Oryctolagus cuniculus: one gene and its partners. The protein of the gene in region 1 interacts with the protein of each later gene in a pairwise test. Links are inferred from orthologs where the notes say so. Each region holds a gene or a part of one and is shown in the gene's direction. Other genes may lie near its edges.

Region 1 (3,500 bases):
GGCTCTGGACTGGGGTGTGGAGGCCGGGTTCCAGCCCCCTCGGCCTCCCCTGCCTGCCAGTCCTGCTCTCCGGTCCTTGCCGCGGACAGTCTGACACCAAAAGGGTGCCTGCTTGCCACCTGAGTCAGAAAAGAGGGTGCCATCTCAGCTGGCGACATGTCCAGGGGGTCAGGGATGGGGTCTGGTCTGGAAGCCACACGTAGCTCAGAGGACTGTGGAGGTGGGCAGTCCCTGCGTGCCTGTCCGGGTCTTCGAGGGGGGCACGCGGAATAGCCAATATGCACTAAACCCGCTTCCCCGGGAGGCGTGTAAGAGCCAGCTGGTCTCTTGGGACGGCACAGGCGCATGGCAGGTGCGCGCCCATTCCCCGGGGGGCAGCTGGGAAGCCTCTTGTGTTGAGCTCTAAGGCTGCGGGCCCAGCAGGTGCCATGGGGAGCTGACCCCTGCTTCCCTTGTCTTTCAGCCCATGAGGCTCCCAGTCCCCACTGAGCGCCGCCCTGAAGGATGTCCCAGCTCTCCTCCACCCTGAAGCGCTACACAGAATCGACCCGCTACACAGATGCCCCTTACGGCAAACCGGGCTATGGCACCTACACCCCATCCTCCTATGGGGCCAACCTGGCCACCTCCTTCCTGGAGAAGGAAAAGCTCGGCTTCAAGCCGAGCCCCTCCACCAGCTTCCTCACCCGTCCTGGGATCTACGGCCCCTCCTCCATCCTGGATTTTGACAGGGGCCGCCCCCTGCTGAGACCCGACATCATTCGGGGTAGTAAGCGGGCAGAGAGCCAGACCCGGGGCACCGAGCGGCCTTTAGGCAGTGGGCTCAGCGGCGGCAGTGGATGCTCGTATGGAGTAACCAGCAGCTCCCTCAGCTACCTGCCCATGAATGCCTGTGACCAGGGGCTGACCCTGGCCCAGAAGAAGTCGAACAGCCAATCAGACCTGGCCCGGGATTTCTCCAGCCTCCGGACCTCAGACAGCTACCGGATCGACCCTGGGAACCTGGGCCGCAGCCCCATGCTGGCCCGCACGCGCAAGGAGCTCTGTGCCCTGCAGGGGCTCTACCAGGCAGCCAGCCGCCCCGAGTACCTGGTGGACTATCTGGAGAACTACGGTCGCAAGGGCAGCGCACCCCAGGTGCTCACCCAGGCCCCTCCCTCACGAGGCGTCCCCGAAGTCCTCAGTCCCACCTACCGACCCAGTGGCCGCTACACACTGTGGGAAAAGAGCAAGGGCCAGGCCCCGGGGTCCAGCCGCTCCAGCTCCCCAGGGCGAGACACCATGGTAAGTGCACCCTGGGGACCCAGGGACAGGTTGGGAGACAGCCAGCCAGTGGTGGAGAAGAGCTGGGTTGGGGGCAGGACTGCCATCCTGACTGGTGTGATGGCAGTGGGGCCTGGTGGAGGCGAAGGCAGAGAAGTCATACTGGCACGCGTACTGCATCCGTGCTCAGCGCCAAGGGGAGGGCCTTTCCCAGCGTTCGCGGGCGGTCAGCAGTGCTCATGGAACTGTCAGCTGCCCCCATCTCTCTCTCTCTCCCCTCTCTCTCTCTCTCTCTCTCACACACACACACACACACACACACACACGCTGCCGTTCTCACCCTCTCCTTTTCCACCCAATTCCTGTTTCCTGCAGACGCTGCCCCATCCTGGGCTGAATGCTGGGGTCCCAAGACCACCAGTGCTCCTTGTGGCAAGAGGAGCTTCCCCGTCCTGGTTGCCTCCCTCCCCCTGCTCAGGCCCTGCATCTGAGTATAAGATATCAGGGGAAGCGGGAGTCTCCGCCCACCCACGTTGGTGGGTTCAGGACCAGGGTGTCTGGACAGCAGTTCAGAGAAAATAGCAGAGAACGTTTTGTCTGGGGCCTGAGACAACCCAACCCCTCGGCTGGAGAGAGGGCAGTGGCTCTGCTGGGTAGGGACCAAAGGCTGGCCTGGCCTCTCGGACATCTGACCCCTCTCTTGAGTCACTGACCACATTCCACCCTCTGTGTTTGTGGTGTGCCCGTTGGGAGCATGCTCTCAGAGGGTGGGAGAGAAATCCTATGTGGAAATTCCTCGCCATGTGCCTGGCACCGCAAGGGGCTTAGCTGGCCTCTGACTGCATGGGCGGATGGGTGGGTGGACAGGTGGACGTGTGGATGGACGAATGGAAGGACAGACAGCAAGCACGGGTGCAGGAGGATTGGGTGTTATGTCTCCTCCATTGCCCCTTCCCTAGTCCAGGGATATGAGGCTTGTTGGAAAGAACAGCTATGCCACCCCCAAGAAATACTGCCTGGAGGACTTAGCCGGGCAAATACAGCAAGGGTCCAGGACTAGGGTCGGGCGTTGGGTTACTGGCCGTGACTCTTGTCTTAATTAAAGGGCTGGAGAAGACACCTTTGATAACTACTTAGTGAGTCTTGGCCTGGCTAGGCCATCTGTGAAGTGCCATGAGACACGAAGCTGGTGCACCCCAGAGCAGTGAGACCCCGATGGGGCAGGGCTGGCTGCACTGAGAGCCAGCATAGAAAGGAGCTGGAGAACAGACGTGACCCACCTGGGCTGGTCTGGGAAGGAGCACGTTTTCTCACAGGGCTGTGTGCCGTGCTTGGGAGATGTTGTTCAGAATGGCTCTTGCGGGAGGAGCTGGGGTCCGGGAAGCTCCGTGGGGCTCCCTCCCTTTGCTCAGAGACCCAAAGCTGGGTCTGCAGCCTGCCTGCATCAAAATCACCTGCTGGGCTTGTGGGCTGGCCCAGGGCCATGTTGGGATGGGGCTTGGGCACTGCCCTTCGCACCAAATCCTCAGAGGACCTCTCTCTACAGGGCAGGGGGTGTCAGGCCCCTTCCCCAACAGGCGCATCCCAACCCTCCCTGGAATTTGCTGCACGGCCCCAGTTCCAGCACCAGGGTCGGGGAGCTGTGAGAGAGGACAGTGGCAGAGACTGGGGCAAACTCTGCACCCTAACGTGGCCTCTCCCATCCAGAAGCACCCACAGCACACACAGGCAGCTGGGAGTACCTGCAGGGGAACTGGCGTCTCATCCTGAGCTCAGGGGCCTGTGGGATAAGGCTTTATTTCCCCTTGTCCCTCCCGCCCTCACTTCCTGGAGCTTCCTGCACTTGCTGAGCCCTGAACAAATCCTGCCCGTGGGGCCTAGACCACTTCTGTCTGAACACCTGGTCCGGTTTCTTTTCAGAATCTCCCTTGGGGACCTTGCCATCTCACTCACTCGTGTGCAAGGCTCAGCTGACTGGCAGGGCGAGCTCGGGTCCCTGAACTTCTGAATCTGTGATGGGAGCACTTACAGCTCCCGCTTCCGCAGTGACTGCAAGGGACGGGAAGGTGCTGGCTGTGCGTGAGACTGCCTGGCACGTAGTAGGCGCTCAGGAAGCGTGAAGTCCTCCTCGCGCCTTCCAGGTGTTCTGGGAGGCAAGTGATGCAGGCGCCTCAGCCCTGGCCTGAGAGCACTTGCTTTTCATTTGGGAGAAACAAGTGCTTAAGCAATTCCAAGTC
Region 2 (4,017 bases), on another chromosome or scaffold:
TGTGGAAAGGCGTATCCACGTGCTGTAAGGCGTGCACATTGTTTCAGGTATCCGGGTGCTTTCCATAAGAAACCCATAGATTTCTGACTGCCTTTCTAATCTACCTAACATAGCGACCCGACGGAGGAATCACGCGGCTGCTTTGGCTGCAAGCTCCAGGAGTTCTCTCCGGAGACCACACCCGACGCCTGAGGCTGGCCGCCGCAGCTTCCCTATGAAAATCAGCCACCTGCATGGCCTTTCGAAATCATCAGGTTGGGTGTTACACAGGTGTACAAAGCGGGCAAGGGGGCTTTTAATAGGAGGGAGTCGGTAGTGTCAAGTCCACGAAGCAGGGATTTAGCTCGGGGAAGTTCCAGCCAGGCAGCCTGAAGTCAGTTGCCCGCCGTAGAGCGAGCCGCCGCCTAGCAAGCGGGTCTTCTCCTTGGTAGCGTCACTCTTCCTCTGCTTCCCTCCGTCTACCCGCGTCGTCAACACACCGAAAGCCTCCAAGGCTTTCTTCCCCACAAAGAAGAAAATTTAGGAAGCCAGAGGCAGTGCCCTACAGCTTTAGAAATGATAAAAGGTAACACCTGCAATGCACGCCGCAATCGCGCACGTGTGTAGGTAGGGGGGCAGAACCCTGTGGGCTGAGAAGCAGCCCACCAACTCCGGGGGTCAGGGGGCCCAGGAGAAAGGTAGATTAATTAAAGAAAGTGCCAGAAAAACTGCAAAGAAACGCGAAACTTTCCTCGCTAAATGCCGCATACGTGCAACCACAGCCTATTCTCCTCTCAAACCACTAGCGACACTGCACCGTCGCCATAAACACTAAGTGGGGAAGAGGGGTGATCAAAGAGGTCCCTGGTGGGAAGCGGTGGGCTGCGGGCCAGGGTCTCCGAGAGGTACCGGGTTATGGAAAACTAAGTTGTCAGTGGGCGGCGAGAACCAATGGCTGGGGATACTTGAGCATCTGAGTGATACGTGGGTCCCGGGGTAAGCAGGCTGCGGCTGGCTGGGTGGGAAAGGACAGGACACAGGTGCGGGGATATAGGGTCTCAGAGAACAGAAAGGGCCTCAGAGAAAAGTGCAAAGGAGAAGAGCCGCAGCTCAGCGGCCCCGCGCCGCCGCCCCCGCCCTCCGTTTTGCGCAGAATCCTCCCCTTGGCTGCAGCAGCGCGCTGCCCCCACTGGCCGGCGCGCCGGGATCGATCGCAGGCTGCGTCAGAAGCCTCGCGGCGTATAAATAGGGGTGGCAGGACGGCGCCGAGCCGCACACAGCCATCCATCCTCTCCTTTCCCTCTCTCCCCCGTCCTTCTTTCTCTCTCCAGGCCCCATCTCCGGCCGCGGGCCAGAGGGGCACCGGCCGCCACCATGAGTTCGTTCAGCTACGAGCCGTACTACTCGACCTCCTACAAGCGGCGCTACGTGGAGACGCCCCGGGTGCACATCTCCAGCGTGCGCAGCGGCTACAGCACCGCGCGCTCCGCTTACTCCAGCTACTCGGCACCGGTCTCCTCCTCGCTGTCCGTGCGCCGCAGCTACTCCTCCAGCTCCGGCTCCTTGATGCCCAGCCTGGAAAACCTCGACCTGAGCCAGGTAGCCGCCATCAGCAACGACCTCAAGTCGATCCGCACGCAGGAGAAGGCGCAGCTGCAGGACCTGAACGACCGCTTCGCTAGCTTCATCGAGCGCGTGCACGAGCTGGAGCAGCAGAACAAGGTCCTGGAAGCCGAGCTGCTGGTGCTGCGCCAGAAGCACTCGGAGCCGTCCCGCTTCCGGGCGCTGTACGAGCAGGAGATCCGCGACCTGCGCCTGGCTGCCGAAGACGCCACCAACGAGAAGCAGGCGCTCCAGGGCGAGCGCGAAGGGCTGGAGGAGACCCTTCGCAACCTGCAGGCGCGCTATGAGGAAGAGGTGCTGAGCCGGGAGGACGCCGAAGGCAGGCTGATGGAGGCGCGCAAAGGCGCTGACGAGGCGGCACTCGCTCGCGCTGAGCTGGAGAAGCGCATCGACAGCCTGATGGACGAAATCGCCTTTCTGAAGAAAGTGCACGAAGAGGAGATCGCCGAGCTGCAGGCGCAGATCCAGTACGCTCAGATCTCCGTGGAGATGGACGTGTCCTCCAAGCCCGACCTCTCCGCCGCCCTCAAGGACATCCGTGCACAGTACGAGAAGCTGGCCGCCAAGAACATGCAGAACGCCGAAGAGTGGTTCAAGAGCCGCTTCACCGTGCTGACCGAGAGCGCCGCCAAGAACACCGACGCCGTGCGCGCAGCCAAGGACGAGGTGTCCGAGAGCCGCCGCCTGCTCAAGGCCAAGACCCTGGAGATCGAAGCATGCCGGGGCATGAACGAAGCGCTGGAGAAGCAGCTGCAGGAGCTGGAAGACAAGCAGAACGCCGACATCAGTGCTATGCAGGTGCGGCCTGGTGCGAAACACGGCGGGGGCGGGGACCTGCAGAATGCGGGGGTCGGGGCAGGGGGAGAGTTGAAGCTGCGCCCAAAAAGTGGAGACCAGGGCTGGTAGGGGTCGCACTGTGCTCCCAGGGGACGGTGTGGGAGGGGCGGGGCCCTTGGGTGGGGCGGGGCCGCTACTGCAGTCTGGGTGTGTGAGTGGTGCAGTGGAGTCTGAGTTCCGCATTGAAGCTGCCCAGCGTGGGAGGGGTCAGGCGGGGGCGGGGGAGAGGTGGGAGTAGGGCGTTGCCCTGGCCTGCAGGGATGTCGGGCCATCTACCTACCTGCATTCACCTGAAGTTACTTTGCAACACCAGTGGGATCACCTGGTTAATAACCATAGCGAGTAAGTCTTAATTAGTCCCGAAAGGTTACTGTGGCCAGTATATTTTATGACTGGTTAAGTACCAGCTACTCCTCCCCTTAGCAGGTGGACAGGAACCCAGACAGATTTGTCTTGGGTAACTAGCTGGGGAGCAGAAATATAGGAAATATTTTAGAGAAAGTATAAGCAATTTAGCTACTTCCTTCTCTTATGAAGAAATGGATGAATTTTCTGGATTGTGACCTGGCTAAAGTGGAGTTAACCCATAAATGAGAATCCAGCCTTTTCTGTCAAGTTAGTTTCCATGCAGGCATATTCTGATGCTCCTTAGATTGTACTAGTTGAGGATATTGTCTTAAAGGAATGTTCTTTCTTTAGTTTTTTTTTTTTCTTCTCATGCTTCATGAAGCTGGATATTTTAGGCGAGAAATATTTTCAAAAAAGAGTGAGCAGCTGTTTTAGGGGAGATTTTTATTAAAGGTGTGCCCCTCGACTCTAACTGAAACTGAGTGTTTGTAACTGAGCTACAGTAAAATGATAGCAGTAGGAATTGATGCTTAGATTTTCTTCTTTTTCTGTCTTCCAACAGGACACGATCAACAAACTAGAAAATGAATTGAGAACCACAAAGAGTGAAATGGCACGATACCTAAAAGAATACCAAGACCTCCTCAATGTGAAGATGGCTTTGGATATTGAGATTGCAGCTTACAGGTAACAACAGAAGGGCAAAGGTAGTAGCCAGAAAGCCTTGGAAGAAAATCAGATGCCATTTAGATCATGTTGAACCAGAAGCCTTCTGCAATAGCCCTCTGAAATGAGATATTATTATGATTAGTTTGCTTCTTCGAAGGAGCAAGTGTTTAGACAAATATCAAAGAACTTTACCCTGTAATATTAAGTCCTGTTTTTAGCTTCTCATTACACTTAAAATCTAATAGAACTATTTAACGTACTTTATTCTGTATCCCCCCACCCCCAGTCTCATTCATAAAATTCCTAGCCATTGGATATTGGTAATTCCCAGCCCTCTCTTGTTTGCATTTGCCTGTAGGATGGCATTGGGAGAACAGATGAGAGGTGGGCTTAGAGCAAGTCATTAAATACACTTCCTAGGTTGTTTTAATTTTAACCCTACCCTCTGTTGGTCTCCCCAGAAAACTCTTGGAAGGTGAGGAGACCCGACTGAGTTTCACCAGTGTGGGCAGCATAACAAGTGGCTACTCCCAGAGCTCCCAGGTCTTCGGCCGGTCTGCC
Region 3 (2,772 bases), on another chromosome or scaffold:
TTAGCCAGTCGTCTTTAGGGGTGATCTCGTAACTATGGAGGTGCAGCAAACGCAACAACGAGCTTGCGTGAGCGTCTTGGAACACAAAGCCCTGAGCTGTCTAGACCCTGGATCACACAGAGTGTAGGAGGTACAGCTTCTGCATACAGTGAAGACGCTTTTTGGGCTTTGAAATTTAAAGTCTTAAGATTAAAACAGTGATATTTTCTTAATGCAAAAAATTTCCATTGGCATGGAAGTATATGAAATAAAAAATAACTGCTTTTATATTATTTTCACGTTCCATACGGTTATTCCTAGGCATGCAGAATCCTACTTTGCTGCATCTGCTGTCAGCTTGTCGCCAGCACACTCTGGGGATCACACTTTACCTGTCGGCGCTGCAGCGTGGCTGTGGTGACTTAGGCTGCCTCTGTTTCCTGTGTCAGTGCACGTGGTTCCACCTCAGTGTTCTTTATTCCCAGGCACTGTGTGATTATGCTCTTGTACAGGCATGCCTTAATGCAGGGGCTAGTTAGGGTATGTGGATGCTGACTTAGTGGTCTAACTTGGTGGTTACCGGAACACAGCAGAGGTACCCAGGGTCCTTTGCCATGGTCTCTGCTCTGAGTTGCCGAGGCAATTCTTTCTTTTATTTACTGCATTGAAAGAGCTACAGAGAGAAGGATCTTGCACTCGCCGGTTCATTACCCAGATGGCTAGACTGGGCTGGGCCGGGCAAGGCCAAAGTGGGAGCCAGGAGCTTCTTCTGGGTCTCCCACAGAGAGACCCAGAGCTGCTTCTGGACGCAAGCACTTGGGCCATCCTTTGCTGCTTTCCCAGGCCATTAGCAGGTAACTAATTGAAAGTGGAGCAGCTGAGATTTGAACCAGTGCCCATATGGGATGCCCATGTTGCAGGTGGCAGCTTTACCTGCTGTGCCACAGTGCCAGTCCCAACAATTCTTTCTTGTTTTTGTGTGAAAGCAGTGTTGGCTCAATTCTGAACATTTTCACAGTTTCTCAAAGGGGCTTCTATGTTCTGTTGTCCTTGATAATTATGACCCATTTGTAGAGAGAGTGATGTGACACACAGTCTATTCTGAAAAGGGTCTAACTGTACATCCTTTAATGGAGTGTTCTGGTTTATCTCTGTCCCCTAAGAGCATTCTACCCCAAAATGTATGCATTTCACTAAGGACACTGTTAAAAGCACATTCCAAAATGCCCGTAAACTAGAACTTAGTTCTAACCATTGGGGTTCCTCAGCTGGGGTAAGTATACAGTTCATTTTCTCCAGGTGTAGCTGTTTCAGCCAGATGCCTAAGGCGTGCCCCATTTTTACTCCCTAATGGTAAATGAGTGCATAGATAATTTGTACATTACAGTAGTCATTTCCCCCAAATGGCATGGAGAAGGTTTGTGTAGTCTTCATGAGTGTTGGAAATAATGGCTAATTATTTTTTCCTGCAACTGGTGATTACCTCCAGTAGACTAGTTATTAGGCTTTCTCTGGAGTCGTATTTCTTGGTGGGTGTCGGGCACCTTCAGACATGAGAACAGGCTTGGCCGGCACTGGGCTGCGTGGCGTCTGCCTTTGCTCTGGAAGGCCCTCAGGGCAGTCACAGTGAGGGAGGAGTAACACTGTCCCTGCCGGCTCACTGCTCCTGCCTTCAGTTGGCTCCTGTTGCAGGGCACTAGGGCAGGCACTGCCCAGAGCCGCACCCACTCTTGGGGAGCAGTAGAGGATTCGGTGTCAGCCCTGCACACTCTGACTGGACCTGTCCCCTGAGGAGTGGCCTAGATGTAGGCATAGAAGCTTTTTTCCTTGCACTGCACCTGAAACTGTACACCTGCAACAGACATTGCTTCGTTTTGGTTTTAAATTGTACAAATTTTATATTATACCATTTCTTATTAAAAATTCAAAGTGCTTTTGTAGGCTGGCCTTTGCTCGAGTGCTTAGATGATGTGATAAATGGGTTTTCTGCACGCTGAAGTATTAACCTCCTGCTACTTGAGTTATCTTGGCCTCGTTGCTGTAATCCTGAGATAACTCCTTTGAGGGTTTTGCTGTGTCTTCGCTTTCTTGCTGCTTTGCCTTGATTCTGGCTTCCTTCTGGCTTGCTTCGCTCTTACCTCTAGCCTTTCTTCCTGCTGACCTACTGACTAGATGAAAACGAAGGTGGTGTGTTCCAGCTGCAAAAGGAAGGTTCCCAGATCCATTACTAAATGTGGCAGGTTAAAAAAAGAAAAAAGCCAGTCCTCTTAGAAGGGTCCATTTTAACAAGCCCTTGGCATTGGGACCGGCCTGTCCCATCCCTCCCTCCTGAGTCTGTGTGTAGCACTGTCACTATAGCTTACTGGTGTTGCCCACAGACCTGAGGGAGGCTTGTCTGGGGGAAGGAGTTCATCAGAGTGGGCTTGTGTGTGGGTGTACGTATGTGCACCCCACCTGCCCAGTCCTCATGAGGACCTTCAGGGGCGACGAAGCCCCACCACGCACAATAGCGTCCCTCATGTAGGTGTCTGCTCTGTGGGCTTCAGAGGTGCTCTGGGAGCCCGTCTGGGATCCCTTCTGCCAGTTCTGCCGTGTGGACTGTGCATCTGCCTCCTGCCCCCGGCGTGGACACGCCTCTGTGTCACCCAGCTGAAGGGCACATTTCACGTGCAGTGCAGTCACTTATTCTCTCAAAGACATTCTTTTTTTTTCTCCATGATTTTTATTTAGTTCCTTATGTGTTGCTTTCCTATTTTTGTCAAGCAAGCTGATTTCTTTGGGGCTGTGTAGGTG
Region 4 (4,291 bases), on another chromosome or scaffold:
CCCAGAGAGGAGTCAGAGCCATAGCTCCGTCACCCAGCCTCTGCAGAGAGGAGTTGAGGCGTGATAGTCTCAGGACGTGGAGGACTGTGAGACAGAGTGTCCTCCCCTCTCCCAGTGCCTTTGAAGCCAGAGCACCTGTGCTCAGGTTGTCCTCCAGCCCCTTGGAGCTTCCCACATTTAAACTTTCTTTTTTCTAATTTGAGAGAGACAGATAAGAGTTCCCATCCACTAGTTCGTGTCCCCCGATGCCCACAGTAGCTAGGACTGAGGGCTGAATCTGGGAGCCGGGAACTCAGTCCAGGTCTCCCATTTGAGTGGCAGGAACCCAATCACTTGAGCCATCACCGTGGCCTCCCAGGGTCTGCATCAGGAGCTGGAGGCGGGTGTGGAACCCGGGCACTCGTGTTGGACCCCACAGTTAACGGAAAGGTGGATGCAAGCAGCTGCCCTTGGGGCTGCAGGGCTGCTCTTCTCTGTGTCTGGCTGGGACTGATCGGTTTCACGAGAGGTCATGAGGTCATAGGGAGAAGCCCTGGCTCCCCTTAATCTCCTCCAAAAGGAAGTAGCAAGAGGAGTCCCCAGCTGGGGGTTGGAACCTCTCTAATGCTTTCCCATCAGGGCCCTGATGGACCGTTTCCATTCCAGCCTGCTACCTTTTCCCTGTCGAATGCAATAAAACTCTGTGACACCAGCAACCATTGTCCTTTAGAAGTGGTGTTCTGGCCATGTGGCTGATGTATCATGGGCAGTATGGTCTTCATTTGTTGCTTCTGTTTTTCCTCTTTTTTGTTTTATTAATAAAAAGGTCTTGTGTATTTACTCCCATTACTACTACAATACAGAAAATAAATTATTCAATTCCTTTACATTATTGCCTTTTCTAAAAAAAAAAAAAACTTTGAGAAAGCCTGTACTTAGGGGTACTTCTGGCCTTCGAGGTGTGTTGGGCCCCCACTAGGCACTGGTTTTTAGGCAGAAGGCTGTGAATTCAACAGCTAGTGATGGGTGTGCACGGGAGTGGGAAACTAAATCACCTCTGGGAATGGGGCGTGGGGGGGTGACCCTCCCTCTCTGAGGCCTTCCTAGCACCAGTCTCTGGAAAGGTGAGTAGGCCTGTCCAGCAGCGAGCAGCTAAAGGCAGAGGAACCCAGTGTTCCCCCAGGGTGCACCCCCTGAAGGGCAGGCAGAGTAGCACGGGGGCCTGGGAAAGTGAAGGGTGGGGGAGTAGGGGCTGTTGCCAGTCTGGGAGAGTGAGTGTAGCTTGGCCCACGGCCTTGCTGGTGGAAAAACCTGGCTTGATGTGGCCCCTGGGAAGTGAGCTGGGTGGGGGCGGAGACTGCCTGACGTGGGAAGCAGAACAGAGCTGGCTTTTTTTTTTTCCTTTCTGAGTTTTTAACTCTATTAGAACCATACACTTGACACCAGCACCACCCCCAGTGATTTGAAAAACAAAACAGTGTATTCACTTGCTCATTCTGCACCAGCCTCGCTACCCCAGTCTTGGAAGGGGAAGGATCAGGCAGTCCCCTTGTGTGAGCGCAGGTGGTGGGGGTCCCAGGTGATCTGGGAAGAGGCCAGGGGCGAGGGAGGGCCCCGGAGCCGCTGGTAAGGAGACGCTTCTGTTTTAGAATCAGTGCGTTGCTTTTCACTGTGCCCCTTCCCATCCCGCCTCGTTCCTCCCAAGTCCCTTCCCGCACAAGGATTCGCAAACCCTGCCCCTCCAGCCCCCGCCCCCCGAAGCTGCCACGCAGCTGGCTGGGAAAGGAGAGGAGGGGCGCGAGGAGGGTGGCGTCTCCGAGGGATTTAACCTCCTACCCTCACTTACATGACGCCACCCCTCCCTCCCAAGCCTGGGACTGCGCCTCCATTTTTGTTTTGGGGCGGAAGGGCAGGGGCTCCCGCATAGCAGGGGTCAAGGGAAGCGGTAATCATCACCTGTGAGGGGAGAGGGGGTGCTGTCCTCCCTCTTCCTCAGTCTCTCACTGCACCCCTGCAGCCCCCCCAACCCTCTCAGGGTCTCCCCCCCCTTGTTGCTAAGGCCCGGACCGTCATCCCAGCAACAGCCTCAGTCATGTGACCGGCAATGGCGGCGCTGACGAGAGGTAGGTGAGCCCGGCGCCCCCCACACCCACTGCGCGCCCCCCGGCCCCCGCTCGCGGCCCCCTCACGCCCCCCCACCTCCTCTGGCATCCCCTACCCCCACGCACCGCGCCGGGGCCCCCCTCGGTGCCCGGCCCTTCATCTCTCTGATCCTCCGGCCCCGGCCTCCAGGCCTCCGTCTGGGGGTTCTGAGGGCCGCGATCAGGCCACCGTACACCACCCAGCTGGTGGTGAGGCTGTGGGGGCTTGGGCGAGTAGGGGAAGTGGGGAGTTGGGTCCAGGTCGGGACCTGGAGGGGGTCGTGGGGGGAGGGGTGGAGCTGCCACAGTGGATGCCCCGAGGGACCCTTGCCCTTCCGGGCTGTCCCTGCCTCCACCCTCTATCTGGAGGCCAGAACTGGGCCCGAGTCCGGCCAGGGCTGCCCCAGAGGAATCACAGACCCAGCCTAAGCGGTGGCCCCGCCTCCCTCTTCTGTGCCAGCAGGACTTGGAGCTAGGACACTTAGGTCCTAGGGGTCTCCCCCCCCCCCCCCCACGTCGGGAAGGGGATGCTCCATCAGGGGCAAGCACTGGGGGCTCTAAGATCCAGTGTCACTTTCTGAATCCGAGGTCCATCTGGCCTTGAGCAGACTACGATGGAGGCACAAAGGGACAGCTGCTCCTTTTTGGATCAGATAAGAAATTGAGGTCACATGGCCCCTCTTTCTAGTTGACAAGCTGCATTTGGAGGTGTTGTGAGGACAGCCCAGTGACTGAATCTGACAGGGCTCAGGGACACCTCTGACCCCTCCAGCTGTGCCCCTGAGCCCTGCCCCTCCCTAAATGCAGACCGGGGAGCTGGCAAGCAGCCCCGCGGGCATGCTGGGTCTCAAAGGTGACGGTGAGAACTTTGTTACTGCAGGGCCGCTGCCACTTTCTGCACCCCTAACTTCAGCTCACCGGCTTCAGGGCAGAGTTCTTTGAGAAAGTGGGAGCAGGACAAGGAGTTGGGGAGCACAGGGCAATTTCTTGTCTATGTGATCTGAGGGAGGTGATAAGAAAGCTCCACTGATGTGGGCTTCTGCTGTGTTGACTTATCTTACTTGGACCCTGGGCTTTTTGGGGAGCCCCAGAGCTGGAGCCGGGAAGAGGAAGGTTAACAGGTCACAGTGCCTCTTGCAACCTCGGGGGAGGCTGGGAATGGCATTCTGCAGGGGAGGAGAGTACCTGGGAGAAGTTTTGTTTCTGGGCTGCCAGGGAGAGAGAGAACATTTGCCATGGTAACTGTTAACCCTCCCCCAGCCCTGGTCAGCTGAGTGTGGATATAGAGGGGCTTCTGCTGCCGTCATCTTCCATGGGCTTTCCAGGTACTTGCCCCTTGTGGGAACCTCAGCTTCCACCCAGACATGGATCTCCTCCCTCCCGTGTCCCAAGTAACCCTATTCGGTAATCTACACTCAGAGACACACTCCTGCCTCTGTTTCAGGCTGCTGGGTTGGGACCTGTGGGAATTGGCAGAAGGGGTTTCTTACTTTTTCTCCTCTTCCTCCCCACCCTACCAGGTGATACAACCCACAAGTAGGGAGCAGGAAAGAGAGAGTGAGCCTGCATGCCAATTCTAAGCTCTTCAGGATCAAAGTGAGCAAAGGAGAGGGGGGCATCAAAACTCCCCAGAGGGCAGAGGGACACATTGTTTCTGTGTAGCGGGAGAATGGAAAGAAACAGCCAGACTGATGTTTCCATCATAACAAAGTTATGGAAACTCTTGCCTTCAGTGGGTGCTGGGGTTCAATGGAAGGTAGAGCTGGGGGAGGGGCTGGGGGCTCAGCTTTGAGAGCATAGGGGTCATGTGGGCTTTGGCAGGAGCCTGATGTAGGAGGCACTGGCACCTGTCCATGGGGACCCCCCACCCTGAGTCCCTTTCACCCTGGGGGCAGTGTCGTTCGTCCTGTCCAGAATGGCAGCCTGTGGAGGCACCTGCAAGAACAAAGTGACTGTCTCCAAGCCTGTGTGGGACTTCCTGAGCAAGGAGACCCCAGCCCGGCTGGCCCGGCTTCGGGAGGAGCACCGCGTGTCCATCCTCATAGATGGCGAGACTTCTGACATCTACGTTCTCCAGCTCTCCCCGCAGGGCCCGCCCCCCGCCCCTCCCAATGGGCTCTACCTGGCCCGCAAGGCTCTCAAGGGGCTGCTGAAGGAGGCAGAGAAAGAGC
Region 5 (4,220 bases), on another chromosome or scaffold:
GGAGAGACTCGTTCTAGCTCTGAGGATCAGAGCTGCCAGGGAGAATGACAGCTTCCTCCTCTGTCTCTCCCTTTGTCCACCAAGTGGTCAGCCGTCAAGGCCGTGGCGAGAGCCTGACCCTACTGGTGGAGACAGAACCAGAGAGGCTGGCTGTGCTGGGGCGGAAAGAACAGCCTCTTGGATGTGGGTCCCCAGAGCTCCACGCTCCCCAAGCCCCCCGTGCCAGCCCCTTCCAAGCGTCCCGACGACTCCCCACACCCCCGGCTTCAGCAGAGCTGCTATTTCCCGCTCACTGGGCTCTTCTGGCCGCAAGGTCTGGAGCAAGTGCAGGAAACACCCCCGACCTGTGTTCACCATTTCTCAGCGCCTCAGGCTGCGGGGGGGGGGGGGGGGACCGAGCCAAGGGGACAGGAGAGGGGCTGGGGAGTAAGGGACTTGCAGGCAACGTTCTTGCTAATGGGCACCGTGGACTGCACAGGATGTCGCCCTCTGCTCACTGCTAAGACAGCATTACCTGTGCTTGACTTGTACACGCGCCTTCTGTGCCTCAGGTACTCTGACCGATGCTGGAGACACAAGGTCTAAGATACTTCCCAACCTTCAAGAAGCTGGGCACACAGGATCCTCGCCCCCCACCACCATGCTGGGAGGCGCAGAGCCCAGAGAGGGCATCCCCTGGGGAGCAGATGAGGCCTTCCACGTGTAGGGCCTGGGAATCCGGGAGGAGGAGGCGCAGGGGTGAATGAAGGCAGACAGCCCTTCTAGGTGCCCCCCCCAACCTGGCGGCGGATATGCAAGAGAAGGGGTCTGTGCGCCTCGGGTTTAGGGATCTCCCACGTTTCTGAGAGGTGACAACTGCCTCGGCAATCCAGCGCCCGCAGCCACTCCCTGAATGCGTGGACGGTTGAATAAGAAGCCCTTTGGGACCCCACTGCTCCCTTCCACTGGAGTGACCATGGCAGACTTCGGCGGGGGCGTGGTTTGCAGCCACTGGGTGTGGGCCGGAGGGAGACAGAGCGGGACGGTGAAGGGGTCTTCGGGCCCGGGGCTGTGGCTGGGTGGGCGTCCAGGGAACACGGAGGGCTCAGGCCCCGCAGTGCTCATGTCCCGGCCTGGCTTCCCCCACGAAGGCGCTTGGAGGGGGTCACCGCGCTGCGGGGATGGGCACCTTGCCCTTCCTCCGCAGTCATTGGGCAGGACCGGGCCCCGACACCGGCCGCAGAGGCGTCCCTGCCACCACAGCAGATGGATGTGGCCGCTCCTTGTCGGGGCAGCTCGTGTCGGAGGGCAAGACCCGAGGCGTGCCGAGGCGCGCTCACCTTCGCAGAGAGCGCGCAGGGAGGGCTTCCGGGAGGCGGCGGCGGCGGCAGCAGCGGGAGGCCTGGCCAGGCCCCGCCCCTCGGTCCGCCCTCTCTCCTCCCCGCGCGCCCATTCGGGTCCCGGCCCGGCGGCTGCGGCTTCGGCTCGGGGAGGCGGCGGCAGCGGCGGGAGCGGCCATGGAGGCGGGCGCCGGGGCCGGCGCGGGAGCCGCGGGCTGGAGCTGCCCGGGCCCAGGTCAGAGCCGTCCTCCCTCCCCTCACCGCCCCTCCTGCCTCCGCTCCTGCGCGCCTGCCTGCAGACCCCGGGCATCCCTGCTCCTCCGCTGCCCACCCCTCCGCCCTCAGCCTTCCTCCCTCCGTCCCCGCGCGTCCCGGGCCCGGTCTCCATCTTTCCGGTACAGCGGCCACATCCTCCCCGGGGGCCCTCCCCTCTTGCCCCTCCAGCTCGCGGGGGCTCCAGCCGCTGCAGCCCCTCCAGTCCTAAAGGCTCCTGGGCGCCCGGCGAGGTGTGACGGGAGGGGCGGGGCGGGGCGGGTAGGGGGCGTCCCCGCCCAGACCCCTTCGTGCGCCTCTGTCGCCGCTTTGCAGTCGCACGGCCGCTCCCCCTTCCTGGCTGCTGCTCTTCCTTGCGTCCCAGCCCCTCTCCTCTCGGTCCCCTCTTCTGAACATACGCCCGCCCTCCTTCTGCCTAGACCAGGACCCCAGCTGGGCTGGGGTCCCCGCGGGGGAGGCTGAGGGAGGGGAGTCGCAGAGCTGAGCTGGCAGGCGCCTCCGCTGGGATTGCAGATCCCAGGGCCCCACCGGCCTGGAAGGCACGTCCGTCCCCTCTCTTCCCCTGCCCCCCACATGGCTTCCTGTCTCCCTGCTCACAGGACCCACAGTAACCACTTTAGGCTCCTATGAGGTGTCCGAGGGCTGTGAGAGGAAGAAGGGCCAGCGCTGGGGGTCCCTGGAGCGGCGAGGGATGCAAGCTATGGAGGGTGAGTTTCCCAAAAGGGCATCTTTCTTTCCGGTCCCTTCTCCTCCCTCCCTGTGACCCCAGAGCTCCGAGCCCGTGCCACAGCCCTGACCTCTGTTTCCCTCAGGCCCCTCCTCCTTTGGGTGGGAACTCCAGTCCTCCCCAGGGCGCTCTGAGGAAAGTTCAAGGTGCATCCCTTTGGGGCCCCGATGGCACAGCTAACCAGGTTGCGTGCCCCTGGGGAGCTGCCAGACAGAGAACCAGGCCTCTGTGGACAGAGCTTTGAAGCAGTCTTTCAGTGGGGGGTTCGTTCTCCCCGCCTGCGACCCAGATCCCAAGCTGTCTCTGGTTTTTAAAAAAGGCAAGGGCATGGGCACCGCCATGCACTTCAAAGCAAAGTCTCGCAGCTGCGGTCCTCCGGGCTCTGGTCGCCTGGAAGAGCCAGGCCAGGAAGGGCAGGTGAGGCCGTCCCCTCCGACGCACGTGGGTGCCCACCCCACCCGTGTGACTGGGCACCGCAGCCAACGCCGGGCCCCTGGAAGAACACGGCTGGTCCAGGTGCCGGGACTCCCTGGGAGGAGTCCCCAGGCCCCTCCGCCTATTCGGTGTGGGCCACCCTGGTCCCCTTAAGAGGGGCAGGTGACACAGGGGTCCCAGCTGAGCCTTAGGCTGCTGCTAAGAGGAAGTAAGAGCAGAGCCTCTGCATTTGAAGACAAAGCAGACAATCACCGTTCAGACAAGATTTTGCTATTTCCAGGAACTGCATTGCAGTGAAAGAGGGGCTGCTCGCCAACCAGGGGCTGGGGACCAGCACCTAACCCCCCCCTGTTGCTATTATTATTATTATTATTTTTTTCCTTTGAAACACATTACAGTGGCAGGCTCACTTTTACACACAGGTGCAAGCTAAGACTTGCCCTGAAAACTCCAGGGGCAAGAGGGGTTATCAAGGGAAGAGGGGCCTCACCCTGCTCAGGTGGGGAGGGGAGGCCCTGTGACAGCCAGGAGGGCCAAGGGAGGAGGGGCCTCACCCTGCTCAGGTGGGGAGGGGAGGCCCCGTGACAGCCAGCCCCAGCAGGGCCAAGCAAGGGGAGCTTGCAGAAAATTCCAAACAGCTGTTTGACAGAATGCGTTTGAAAGGGCCCCCGCGTTTGTCCAGTGAATTTAGAATCATTTCATTCACATGTTTTCTTTCTCTACCTACTGACGGGCAATGTTTGCTTATTATGGAAAGGCTAATTTTACACTAAGCCACCTGAATAATTTAAAAAAAAAAAACTTTCTACAAATCCTCAAACTGTAACTCTGGCCCTGATTGGCCTAAAGGCATGCCTGGTGTCCGAATCTCCTGACCATTCAGCCCTCTCCCCAGAGAACACACTAGAAAAGACTTGGGTGTGCATGTGTGGTTCCCCGGGCTGAGCCAGGAGACTGTTTGCCCACAGGTTGGAGGCAGAGGCCACCAAGCGTGCCGTTGGGCCAGGAGGATCTGGGGGAGGGGAGGGCGAGGTGGCCTCCTGACCTGCCCCTAACACCTAGGGCTCATCAGGCATCCAGGGGACTCCTGGGCACACCGGGCGGCACTGTTACGCCGCTCTGCCCTCTGGAAGGGCCACGCACAGGAGGCTGGCACTGACTCTCTTCTGGGCTGGGCGTCTCTCCCAGGAGAGGTGTTACTGCCAGCTCTCTATGAGGAGGAAGAGGAGGAGGAGGAGGAGGTGGAAGAAGAAGAAGCTGAGCACATGCAGAAGGCTGGCAGCGGAGGCTCCTTGTCCCTGAGCAAGCACCGGGGCCTGAGCCTCACCGAGACTGAGCTGGACGAGCTGAGAGCCCAGGTGCTGCAGCTGGTGGCCGAGCTGGAGGAGACGCGGGAGCTGGTCGGGCAGCATGAGGACGACTCCCTGGAGCTGCAGGGTGAGCGCCTGCCGCGGGCCGGGGGGCCT
Region 6 (4,263 bases), on another chromosome or scaffold:
CCAGGAGCCAAGGGAGCCGGGCTGGTGCCTCGCTCCCCGGCCCCACCCCCCAGCACTCCACCATGCTGATCCCAGCTGCTGCCTGAGCCTCCGGGCGCGCTGCCAGCAAGGGGAGGCGGCTCTGAGTGCCCCAGGAGGCCGGGATCAGGGCACGACCAGAGGAAGGGGCTCTCCACTGGGGAAGGGGCTCAGTCTGTTTTTGCGAAGCTGAGGGTCTGGGGTGAGCCTGAGGTTGGCTGGGCTATGTTTCCCTTTCCAGGGAAAAAGAAAGAAAAACAACCCATCGAGCTAAAAATAGAGCTGAGCGCCGGCCAGGGCTGTGGCCTGGAAGGGGGGGATGCTCCTTCCTGGGGCAGAGCCCAGCTCTGGCTGGCCTTGGCCCTGCGGGGGAGGGCTGCCGTCTGGGCGAGGGAGGCCGTCCTCGCCAAGGCCAGCGGGCATCAGCTGACCTGGCCAGGTCACAGAGACCCCTAAGGAAAGGTCTGTGTGATAGAGTGCATGCAAAACACGGTGTGCAGTATGAGAAGCTGTTTGTGAGTACTGCGAGGCTGTCAGCATGTGAAAGATGCTGGGAGGTGCGAGGGCCTGCGAGTTGTTGTGAAAGACTTAATGCACAACCGGTGTGACGCGGGGCTGCGCGGGAGCTGGCCTGGGAGTGCATGGAAGGAGGCCTGGGGGACCACGTGACGGATGAAGCTCTGCGATTGCGGCTGCCCGAGACTGAATGTGGGAAAGGTCGTGTGGGTGTTAAGATGTTGTTTCCAAGAGGGTGAGCATATGCGTGACCCTGAGGAGACCGTGGAATGTTGTCTGGTGGGAAGCTGGTGTAGGCTTGGGCTGTGCCTTTCCACTGGGGAGGCCAGAAGCCGCCCTTCCCCGGGCAATGACCCTTCTCTTAGCCAGCGACTCCAAGGGAAAGTTGGGGAGTCCAGAGCCGCGCCAAGGGCAGGCCTGGGCTGGCGTCCACGGGCACGGGCTGTGGAGTGGGAGAAGACCCCCCTGGGTCGGGGGGCGAGTAGATGTGCTCTGAGAACCGACCGCCAGGTGGCGCCGCCTCCGCAGATCCTCGTGTACCGCCTCCAGCCCGCTGTGGGGTGGGCCAGGCAGGGACCTGGCCGCGGCCCCCGACTAGTGCTGGGGCGCAGGGCCCCGGCAGCCGAGGAGCGGCGGGCAGCTGACCCTCGGCTTCCCGCTCTGGACTCTGAAGCTGGAGAGTGTCTGGGGCGGGCTTCGATTAGAGAAGCGAGGGGGAGGGGCCGCCGCGCCGCGCCTTGGCCCTTTGTGCTCGAACAATGACCAGCTGCCGCTGGCCCCGGGGCCCGGCTCTGGTAGGGGGTGACCCGCCCGCCGAATCCACAGCCGACCGAGCCGTCCGACACGCAGTCACCGAGACTCGGCGGGAGGGGTCCCGCTCGCCGCCGCGCAGCCCCTGCGTGCGCCCCAGCAGACACGCGTGACGTGGGGTGCCTGCGCGTGTCCGCGCCCCGGGGCGGGGACGCCCCTCGGACCCCTCCCCCGCGCCGCCCCGCGCCGCGCCGCCCACTCGGGCCGGGAGGGGACTGGCCCGGGCCGGGTGCGCCGCCGAGGCGGAGGCGGGGCCCGGCCGGGTCGGGCCGCTCCGAGTGGCCGCGCGCGGGCCGGAGCCGGGCGGCGCGCCTGTGGAGCGCTTGGGGCGGCCCGGGGCTGAGCATGGAGCAGCGCGGCGGAGGTGAGGGGGAGGCCGGGGCCGGGAGGAGACCCGGGGTCGCCCCCAACTTCTGTGCGGCGGCGTCGGGAGGGGAGGCGGCGTTCGGCGGCCGCCGTGCTGGTGGGGGGGGGGGGTCGTCGGCTGAGTGGGGGTGGGCGGGGGGAGGGGTCCCGGCTTCCTGCCTCGGAATGGGAACTCGGATCCCAGACTTGAGCCTGCGTGACTGTTCTTGGAGTTGAGGTGGGAGGGCGACTTTCCCGAACTCCTCAGCCCCCAAAACAGGTCTGCGCGAGCTCGGAGCGCGGCCAGAGCCGTCGCTGGCCCTGGCTGAGCCCCAGCCCTCAGCCCTCCGTCCTGCCCACCGCGGCGATTACTCGGGAGAGCGAGGGGTTCCCTTTGCCCACAGCCACGGCGCATTTCTCAAAATGGAGCCTCGGCTTGCCCCTCCTTCTCAGTCGGGCTCTGAGAGCGGGAGTCCTACTGGCTGGGCCTGGCTGGCCGGCTTTCGTCGCTCTGGGTCTGGGGGGCCTTGGCCTCTTGCGGTTCCGGGGCCTGGCGCCATGGGCCGGCCTGCCTGGCTTCCTTGGCCGCCTGACCCCCGCGCCTCCCTGAGCCTTTGTCTCGGCCTTTGGCTCTTTCTCCGAGTGGGCCCATCGCCTTCCTTCAGTTTTCACTTTTCTCTGTGCTCCCTGAAGAGGAGAAATGCGGACAGAAATGCCAGCCCGCATGGCCCCCTTAGCAGCCCCTTCCCCCGTCCTGTCCGTGCCTTACGTGGCCCTGCAGAGGGAGGAGGAGGCTCCCGGGTGCCCGCGTTGCCCAGGGCTGGAGCTTGGGGTGCTGTCAGGCCCCAGCCCTGCAGCCAGGCCCACCATTGCTCCCAGCAGCTCCTCCGGCAGTCTGGACTGACACCGACCTGGTTCTTGGTGTCTTTTCACTTGGGTAGAGAGGAAAGGGATGAACTCGATGGAACACAAGCAAGAAAGAAGGGGAACAGCTCGGACAAAGGTGGTTCCCCCTCTCCCCACACTCCAGAGTGAAAACTGGCGGGTTCCCTCGCACTCCCCGGTGCCCGACATGCCTGCCCTCAGAGCCTTCTCTGTGGGTAACCCGGCTCTGGCCGGCCTGCTGTGCACACACAGGAGTTCGCGGGGGGGAACCCATGTCCTGGGTTCCTCTTCAGCATCTCAGCACACTCACCTGTTACCTGTGCATTTACTACTCCTGCGTACTTGCATGGTGACCCTTAATTACACACGCATACGTGTGAGGTTCACACGTTAGTTCACACCTAGACGGGTGTATGTATTGAACATGTCCAAACACACACTCATGTTTTCACACGCATTATTCCTGGCACGCAGTGCTCACTCTGCTGCCCCTGGGCATAAAGGCGGCCATGAAGACCTGTACACGCACACATTCCTACTCCCAGGAAGTTTTCTGTCCGCCTCCTTGGCCTGCACGTTCTGCATGATGATTTCGGCAGATGCCAGAGCCCTGGTGCTCTGCGGCCTCGGGACCGGAGGGAGTTCCCCAGGGAGGCTTGCTCTCCCCTTCCAGGAAGGAGCAGAGCCCGGGGAGGTGGTGAGGTCTTGGAGCAGCTGCCAGAAGTGATGGTGGGGCTTCCGCCTCCATCGGGGTTTCTCTGGAGATGGCGGAAGCTGGAAGCTTCTGATAGAGGTTGGAGTCGGGCAGCGCCCATGAAGGCTCCTTTAGGCCCCATGTCACACCCTGACTGGGTATGGAGAGGGTAGGGGTTGTCATAGAAACAAGCAAGTGCCTGCATCACCTCCAGGAGGCAGGTGTGTGTGCCCTGAGAGCTGTGGACTGCCTGTTTGGCCAGCTCCACCCTTGCCGCCTCTCTGTCTGGGAGAAACTGAGGCCCAATAGGGGGAGGTGGGGCGCTGCTTGGCCTTGGCTCTTTGTTCCCTAATTATTGTCTGAGTTGCTGGTGGTGTCCTTGAGGTTGTCGCTGCCCAAACTGCCCTGTAACGAGGCCACCTGTCCCAGGAGACTGGGGACCTGGGCCAGGTGCTGGGAGAGAGGGCTTCTTGCCTAACCTGAGTCCTGGTCTCCGTGGGGCTGCAGGTCTGGGTCTGGGCCTCCACTGCCAGGTGGCCCTGTGCAGGCTTCCGATCCCTTCATCTCTGCCTGGTGGCCCTGTGCAGACCAGGGAGCAGTGGTCTGGGGCCCAGAGAGAAATGAGATTCGTGCCAGTACTTGGAAGAGGAGCCTTGGGGGGGGGGGGGGGTCAGGGCGTTGTTACTCATGTCAGGAAGGCGTTTGGCCTGGATCAGGGGACAGCACAGGGACTCAAGGCCTTGTATAGGGAGAGGGTATAGGATGCTGGGATTCTTTTTGTTTTGTTTTGTTTTGACAGGCAGAGTGGACAGTGAGAGAGAGACAGAGAGAAAGGTCTTCCCTTGCCGTTGGTTTACCCTCCAATGGCCACCACGGCCGGCGCACTGCGCCTATCCGAAGGCAGGAGCCAGGTGCTTCTCCTGGTCTCCCATGGGGTGCAGGGCCCAAGCACTTGGGCCATCCTCCACTGCACTCCCAGGCCACAGCAGAGAGCT
Region 7 (4,115 bases), on another chromosome or scaffold:
AAGAGGACGGGGCTCTCTGGAAGGCTGAGGAGGGCGCACAGCCCCTCTTCCCGTGCCAGCTAGGCACCACGAGGCTGGGAGAATGCGGCTGTCTTCATCCCTGGAACGAAATTCGGGGTGGGAGTGTCGCGGGCGCGGAGACCCCTAGAGGGGCCGGGTCTCCAGGCAGGAAGGGTGGGCTTCCCCGAGTCTCCGAGGCTCCAGCCTTAGGCCCTCTGATGTACTTCCGCCGAAAACTCGCGCTGGGCAGCCTATGTTTTACGCGTTTCCACGCACGCCTTGTATTTATGGGAGTCCGGAGAAGGCGCCCACGAGAAGCAGCCCAGCGCCCCGGCGGGCCGGGGAGCCCCGGGGGCTGCGCGCCCGCCGCCGTCCTGCGCGCACGAGGGCTGGGATTGGCTAAGGCGCCCGCGCCTGCAGCCGGCGAGGCGGAGCTGGGCCGACACCCCCCGGGCGTCCGGGGAGGCCCCACTGCCGAGGGGGACGCGGGGTCCCAACTGGGCCGAAAGGGAAATTCAGAGTCCCCGCGGCGGGCAGGGGCGCGCGGGGGAGGACCGCGCCCCGCCACCACCGCGCGCTGCCCCGGCCGCCGCCCGCGCCGTGACTCGCGCGTTCTGGGCCGAGTACGGGCTGTCCCTGGCCCAGCCTCAGCCAGACGCGGGGGAGAGAGAGCAGGGACTGGGAAGTGCCGGCCAGAGAGGAGTTGGCCAGAGATGAGGAGGAGGAGGACGGATGGAGTCATCCGGTGACGGAGCGCGCCCAGTCCGGCGGCGGAGAGAAGCCGGGGGACCGCGAGCGCGCGAGGGGGAGACGGCCACGCGTTCCTGGCCCGCGGAGGGTCTTCCCCGGCCTGGTTCCGAGCAGGGGGCGGGTAGCACGCGGGTGTTGGGCCGGGAACCACCCCTCTCCCCGGGGGAGGCCGCGCGGAAACCGGCCCGCCCGGACCACCTGCTGCCGCGGCCCCGCTGGCCGCAGTATTTATGCCCGGGGCGCGAGCCCGCACGCGGGCCGCGGGGAGGGTGCCGCGAAGCCCCGCCCCACTCCGCTCGGCCCCGCCCCCGGCGCGGCCCGCTCACTTGGGGCGCCGGGGGCCCCCACTCCGGCCGGGGTCGGCTGCCCGCCGCCGGGTGGGGGCAACTTGGCTGCAGGGCGGGCCTCCCTGCGGAAAGCGACGTCACGGCCGCTCCTGCAGTGTGAATGAATCAAAATGCCCGGGTGACCGCGGCCTCCCGGCGGCCGGCACGCGAAGGGTGGAGGGGGAGGGGGCGCGGGCGGGCGGGGGGAGGAGGAGGAGGAGGAGGAGGAGGGGAGAAAAGCCAGAGCCGCAGCAACAGCGTCTCCTCTACCCGGGATGTGCACCAACCCCGGAGAGCGAGATCAAAGGCGTCCGAACCAGACCGAGCACGGCCGGGGGGAGGGGCCGGCCAGCCTGTGGAGTCCTCCCCGAGAGGCCGAGGGCCCGGCGGCCACCGTGACTTCCGCGGCCTGCTCGGGCTTTTTATTATTTTCCAATCTCTGAGTCCAGCCAAGAGCGAGCGAGCGAGCGAGATCTCCGTGGACTGCGCCTGGCTGGCTCTCGCTCCGAGATGATGCAGAGCGCGGCTGTCCCCGCGGAGGGGGCCGTCAAGGGGCTCCCGGAGATGCTCGCTGTGCCGATGCAACGTAAGACACCCCCTTCCGCGCCCGCCGGACTCGGTCCTTGGACCGCGGGCAGCCTCTGCGGGGCGGGCGGGCTGGGGCGCAGAGGCGGCCGCAGGGCAGGGGCCGCGGCCAGGGTGCGTTCCAAGGGCCTGGCTCTTGGCTCCTTGGGGTCGAATGTGGAAGCCACCTGGGTAGCGCTCGTGGCGGGTCGAGGATGCGCGAGCACCGCACCTCCAATACCTGGTTTCTCTGGGAACGCGGGAGGAGAGTGCTGTTTGGGGACCTCAGCGGGGTGAGCTGCAGGCCACAGGCGTCAGGGCGAGCAAGGGTGGTCTTCCCGGGGGGGCCATGTTCTGGGCTCACAGGACCACTGTGTGCAACTTCACCCCAGCCGGCGGGAAGTTGAAGAGCCAGTCCCACGCCCCTCGGGGCCGGCGGCGCGGAAGCCCGGGCCGCACGCTCCGTCCCCGCGGCCAGCGCGCCGGGCGTGCGCGCCTGGTGCGTCCCCAGCCGCTGCTGCCTGCGGCGCCCGCCGCTTGAACCTTCGGGAACCGACTGCTCCTGGGGAGGGAACCTGCTCATCACATTCCAGCTGCGAGGGGAATGCGGAGGGGGGAGAAGCGCGGGCCGAAGTTGTGGACTCGGGGGTCAACCCCGGCGCAGACCGCTCAGCACGGCTCGAGTTTGGAGGGGAGAGACTGGGGTGTGTGTGAGCGTCTCGACAGCCTGGCCGCTTCTCTCCCGCGCTCGAAATTAACCAGGCGGTGCGCGCTCCGGGCGGGTGTGTCCCCAGGTCTCTATGCATGGAGGGGTGTGCGCGCGCGCAGATATTTTCCCGGAGGGAATCTGTCTCCGTCCCTCACTACTGGAGACTCCGCGAGGGAGAATCCGTGCCGGGCCGGAACAGGTCCCAGAGCTTGGCGCGCGCGCGCGCCTGGCGTGCACAGCCAGAGTCCTGCCGCGTGCCTTGCGCGTCTGGCAGGGCGCTCCTGGGCACCGCGGACACCGACTGTTCTCTGGTTCCTGGGCACCGCGGAGAGACCGGTTGGCTGGCTCAGGGGGCTGTACTCCTGCAACTCCTTTGGTGGGGCAGTACGTCCTTGGGGTGTAAGTAAGAGCGGGCTCACGAAGGAATGGTGACCACCTACGAACCAGGGCGCACGAGCGCGCCCTCCTGCGCCCTGGCTCTCCACGGCAGGGTTTCTGTCTCGACGACGCCTCGAAGGACGGGCTGGCGAACGCGTGCCCTGGGAAGTTTTTGAGAAGGTACTACAAAGAGGAACTTTATTTATCTTATTTAGATCGACCACATCCTACAGTTATTATTTGTCTTTCTGTGCCAACCAGTGTAGGACTGCGGCGCGCTTTGGAGAGGCCGTGCGTGGCTAAGGCTTCGTGTCTAGCGGTCGTGGCCCGCAGGTGGCCTGCCTCTTGGAGCTGCAGAGAAGGTCCCTGGGCTCCGCTCTGCGGGTCTGGGATGCCCGACGCTCTGATGGTCGCACTTCAGTGTCTCTTACTCGGAGACAGCTTTGGTGTTCGAGGGCAGAAACGCACTTGTCGAAAATGCCCAGAACTCGCCTGCAGGGCTGTCGCTCGCCGGGGCTCTGGGCCTGGGTGGAAACTGTGTCAAACTTAATGAGGGAGAAAAAGGCATCACCCCAGGGTAGCCTAGGGAGGCAGTGCAGAACCAAGAGGGGCGGCCAGTCTAGCCTGGGTTCTTTCGGCTGTGGGAGGAGACACAGCCCCCCCCCCCCGTTTCAGGGACTTTTTACCACCCGCCCCCCCCACTCCGAACTTTGGGATGTGATTGTCGCTTTTAGCTTAACGGCCAGCGGCTAAGCTCCTAGGGCCAGGAACCCGGGGATAAATGGGCTGGGCCCTTTCCCTACAGATACACAAACACTCTTGCTCCTGGGACAGGGCCCTGGGGTCTGGGGGTACAGGGAGGAAGAGGGGTAACGGGATGTGGAGTGGGAATAACAGATGGGCCCTCTTCTGGGAGTCCGTCCAGCCCCTTAGCTGGAGGGCCTGGGGCGCCCACTGCCCAGCACACACAGGTTCCCCATCTTCGTCTCCCTGAGCCGGCAAATGGAGCTCCTGGGGCAGAAGTCTTGGGATTCCCCTGGACCTCTGGCGCCCTCGCCTTCAGGGGCGTTCTAGAAGTTCAAACCCAGCTTGTTCCCGCAGCAGGGGCTATTCCTTTGCTGTCTTACTTCAGGAGAATGTTGCCAAATAACGTAATTTATGTCCCTTGGGCCCACACCCCTGCGCTCTTCCTTCCGACTTCATCCCGCCTCTGCTGCTGCTGGACCCCTGGGTAGCAGGGTCGCACCACGCAGAAGTCATGCGGCCCCGGAGTGGTCCTCAAAGCGCCAACAGTCTCCGGGCCGCCCATCCGGCCCCTGCCCGGCTCGGCTCGGACAAGCTCTGGCAAGCGGCAGGAGGCTGGGGGTGACCCCAGGAGCAACCTGGCT

What was found.
Region 2: the proteins of USP2 (region 1) and NEFL interact in binary tests that used the Homo sapiens proteins (3 or more experiments, as listed by UniProt). The two-hybrid records come from large-scale screens. The link is inferred for Oryctolagus cuniculus from reciprocal best matches to the Homo sapiens genes USP2 and NEFL.
Region 3: the proteins of USP2 (region 1) and NDEL1 interact in binary tests that used the Homo sapiens proteins (3 or more experiments, as listed by UniProt). The two-hybrid records come from large-scale screens. The link is inferred for Oryctolagus cuniculus from reciprocal best matches to the Homo sapiens genes USP2 and NDEL1.
Region 4: the proteins of USP2 (region 1) and DTX3 interact in binary tests that used the Homo sapiens proteins (3 or more experiments, as listed by UniProt). The link is inferred for Oryctolagus cuniculus from reciprocal best matches to the Homo sapiens genes USP2 and DTX3.
Region 5: the proteins of USP2 (region 1) and CCDC136 interact in binary tests that used the Homo sapiens proteins (3 or more experiments, as listed by UniProt). The two-hybrid records come from large-scale screens. The link is inferred for Oryctolagus cuniculus from reciprocal best matches to the Homo sapiens genes USP2 and CCDC136.
Region 6: the proteins of USP2 (region 1) and LZTS2 interact in binary tests that used the Homo sapiens proteins (3 or more experiments, as listed by UniProt). The two-hybrid records come from large-scale screens. The link is inferred for Oryctolagus cuniculus from reciprocal best matches to the Homo sapiens genes USP2 and LZTS2.
Region 7: the proteins of USP2 (region 1) and LHX4 interact in binary tests that used the Homo sapiens proteins (3 or more experiments, as listed by UniProt). The two-hybrid records come from large-scale screens. The link is inferred for Oryctolagus cuniculus from reciprocal best matches to the Homo sapiens genes USP2 and LHX4.

The regions. Positions count from the first base shown.
Region 1 is NC_091432.1:110,949,461-110,952,960, forward strand, and holds part of USP2 (ubiquitin carboxyl-terminal hydrolase 2), read left to right. Parts: exon of another isoform or gene 1-463; 5' UTR 464-504; coding exon 505-1,284; exon of another isoform or gene 1,285-3,500. UniProt on the Homo sapiens protein: Hydrolase that deubiquitinates polyubiquitinated target proteins such as MDM2, MDM4 and CCND1. Isoform 1 and isoform 4 possess both ubiquitin-specific peptidase and isopeptidase activities.
Region 2 is NC_091433.1:49,228,294-49,232,310, forward strand, and holds the start of NEFL (neurofilament light polypeptide), read left to right. Parts: upstream 1-1,217; 5' UTR 1,218-1,353; coding exon 1,354-2,400; intron 2,401-3,349; coding exon 3,350-3,474; intron 3,475-3,917; coding exon 3,918-4,017. UniProt on the Homo sapiens protein: Neurofilaments usually contain three intermediate filament proteins: NEFL, NEFM, and NEFH which are involved in the maintenance of neuronal caliber.
Region 3 is NC_091448.1:52,910,712-52,913,483, forward strand, and holds the end of NDEL1 (nuclear distribution protein nudE-like 1), read left to right. Parts: intron 1-300; coding exon 301-400; 3' UTR 401-2,272; downstream 2,273-2,772. UniProt on the Homo sapiens protein: Required for organization of the cellular microtubule array and microtubule anchoring at the centrosome. May regulate microtubule organization at least in part by targeting the microtubule severing protein KATNA1 to the centrosome.
Region 4 is NC_091442.1:60,208,415-60,212,705, forward strand, and holds the start of DTX3 (probable E3 ubiquitin-protein ligase DTX3), read left to right. Parts: upstream 1-1,491; 5' UTR 1,492-1,605; intron 1,606-1,654; exon of another isoform or gene 1,655-2,038; 5' UTR 2,039-2,102; intron 2,103-3,380; exon of another isoform or gene 3,381-3,524; intron 3,525-3,640; 5' UTR 3,641-3,687; coding exon 3,688-3,716; intron 3,717-3,809; exon of another isoform or gene 3,810-4,015; coding exon of another isoform or gene 4,016-4,034; coding exon 4,035-4,291. UniProt on the Homo sapiens protein: Regulator of Notch signaling, a signaling pathway involved in cell-cell communications that regulates a broad spectrum of cell-fate determinations.
Region 5 is NC_091434.1:164,988,472-164,992,691, forward strand, and holds the start of CCDC136 (coiled-coil domain-containing protein 136), read left to right. Parts: upstream 1-1,420; 5' UTR 1,421-1,496; coding exon 1,497-1,554; intron 1,555-2,191; coding exon 2,192-2,299; intron 2,300-3,942; coding exon 3,943-4,191; intron 4,192-4,220. UniProt on the Homo sapiens protein: May play a role in acrosome formation in spermatogenesis and in fertilization.
Region 6 is NC_091446.1:28,872,964-28,877,226, reverse strand, and holds the start of LZTS2 (leucine zipper putative tumor suppressor 2), read left to right. Parts: upstream 1-1,463; 5' UTR 1,464-1,708; intron 1,709-1,846; exon of another isoform or gene 1,847-2,571; 5' UTR 2,572-2,641; coding exon 2,642-2,692; intron 2,693-4,263. UniProt on the Homo sapiens protein: Negative regulator of katanin-mediated microtubule severing and release from the centrosome. Required for central spindle formation and the completion of cytokinesis.
Region 7 is NC_091438.1:8,347,032-8,351,146, forward strand, and holds the start of LHX4 (LIM/homeobox protein Lhx4), read left to right. Parts: upstream 1-1,315; 5' UTR 1,316-1,586; coding exon 1,587-1,662; intron 1,663-4,115. UniProt on the Homo sapiens protein: May play a critical role in the development of respiratory control mechanisms and in the normal growth and maturation of the lung. Binds preferentially to methylated DNA.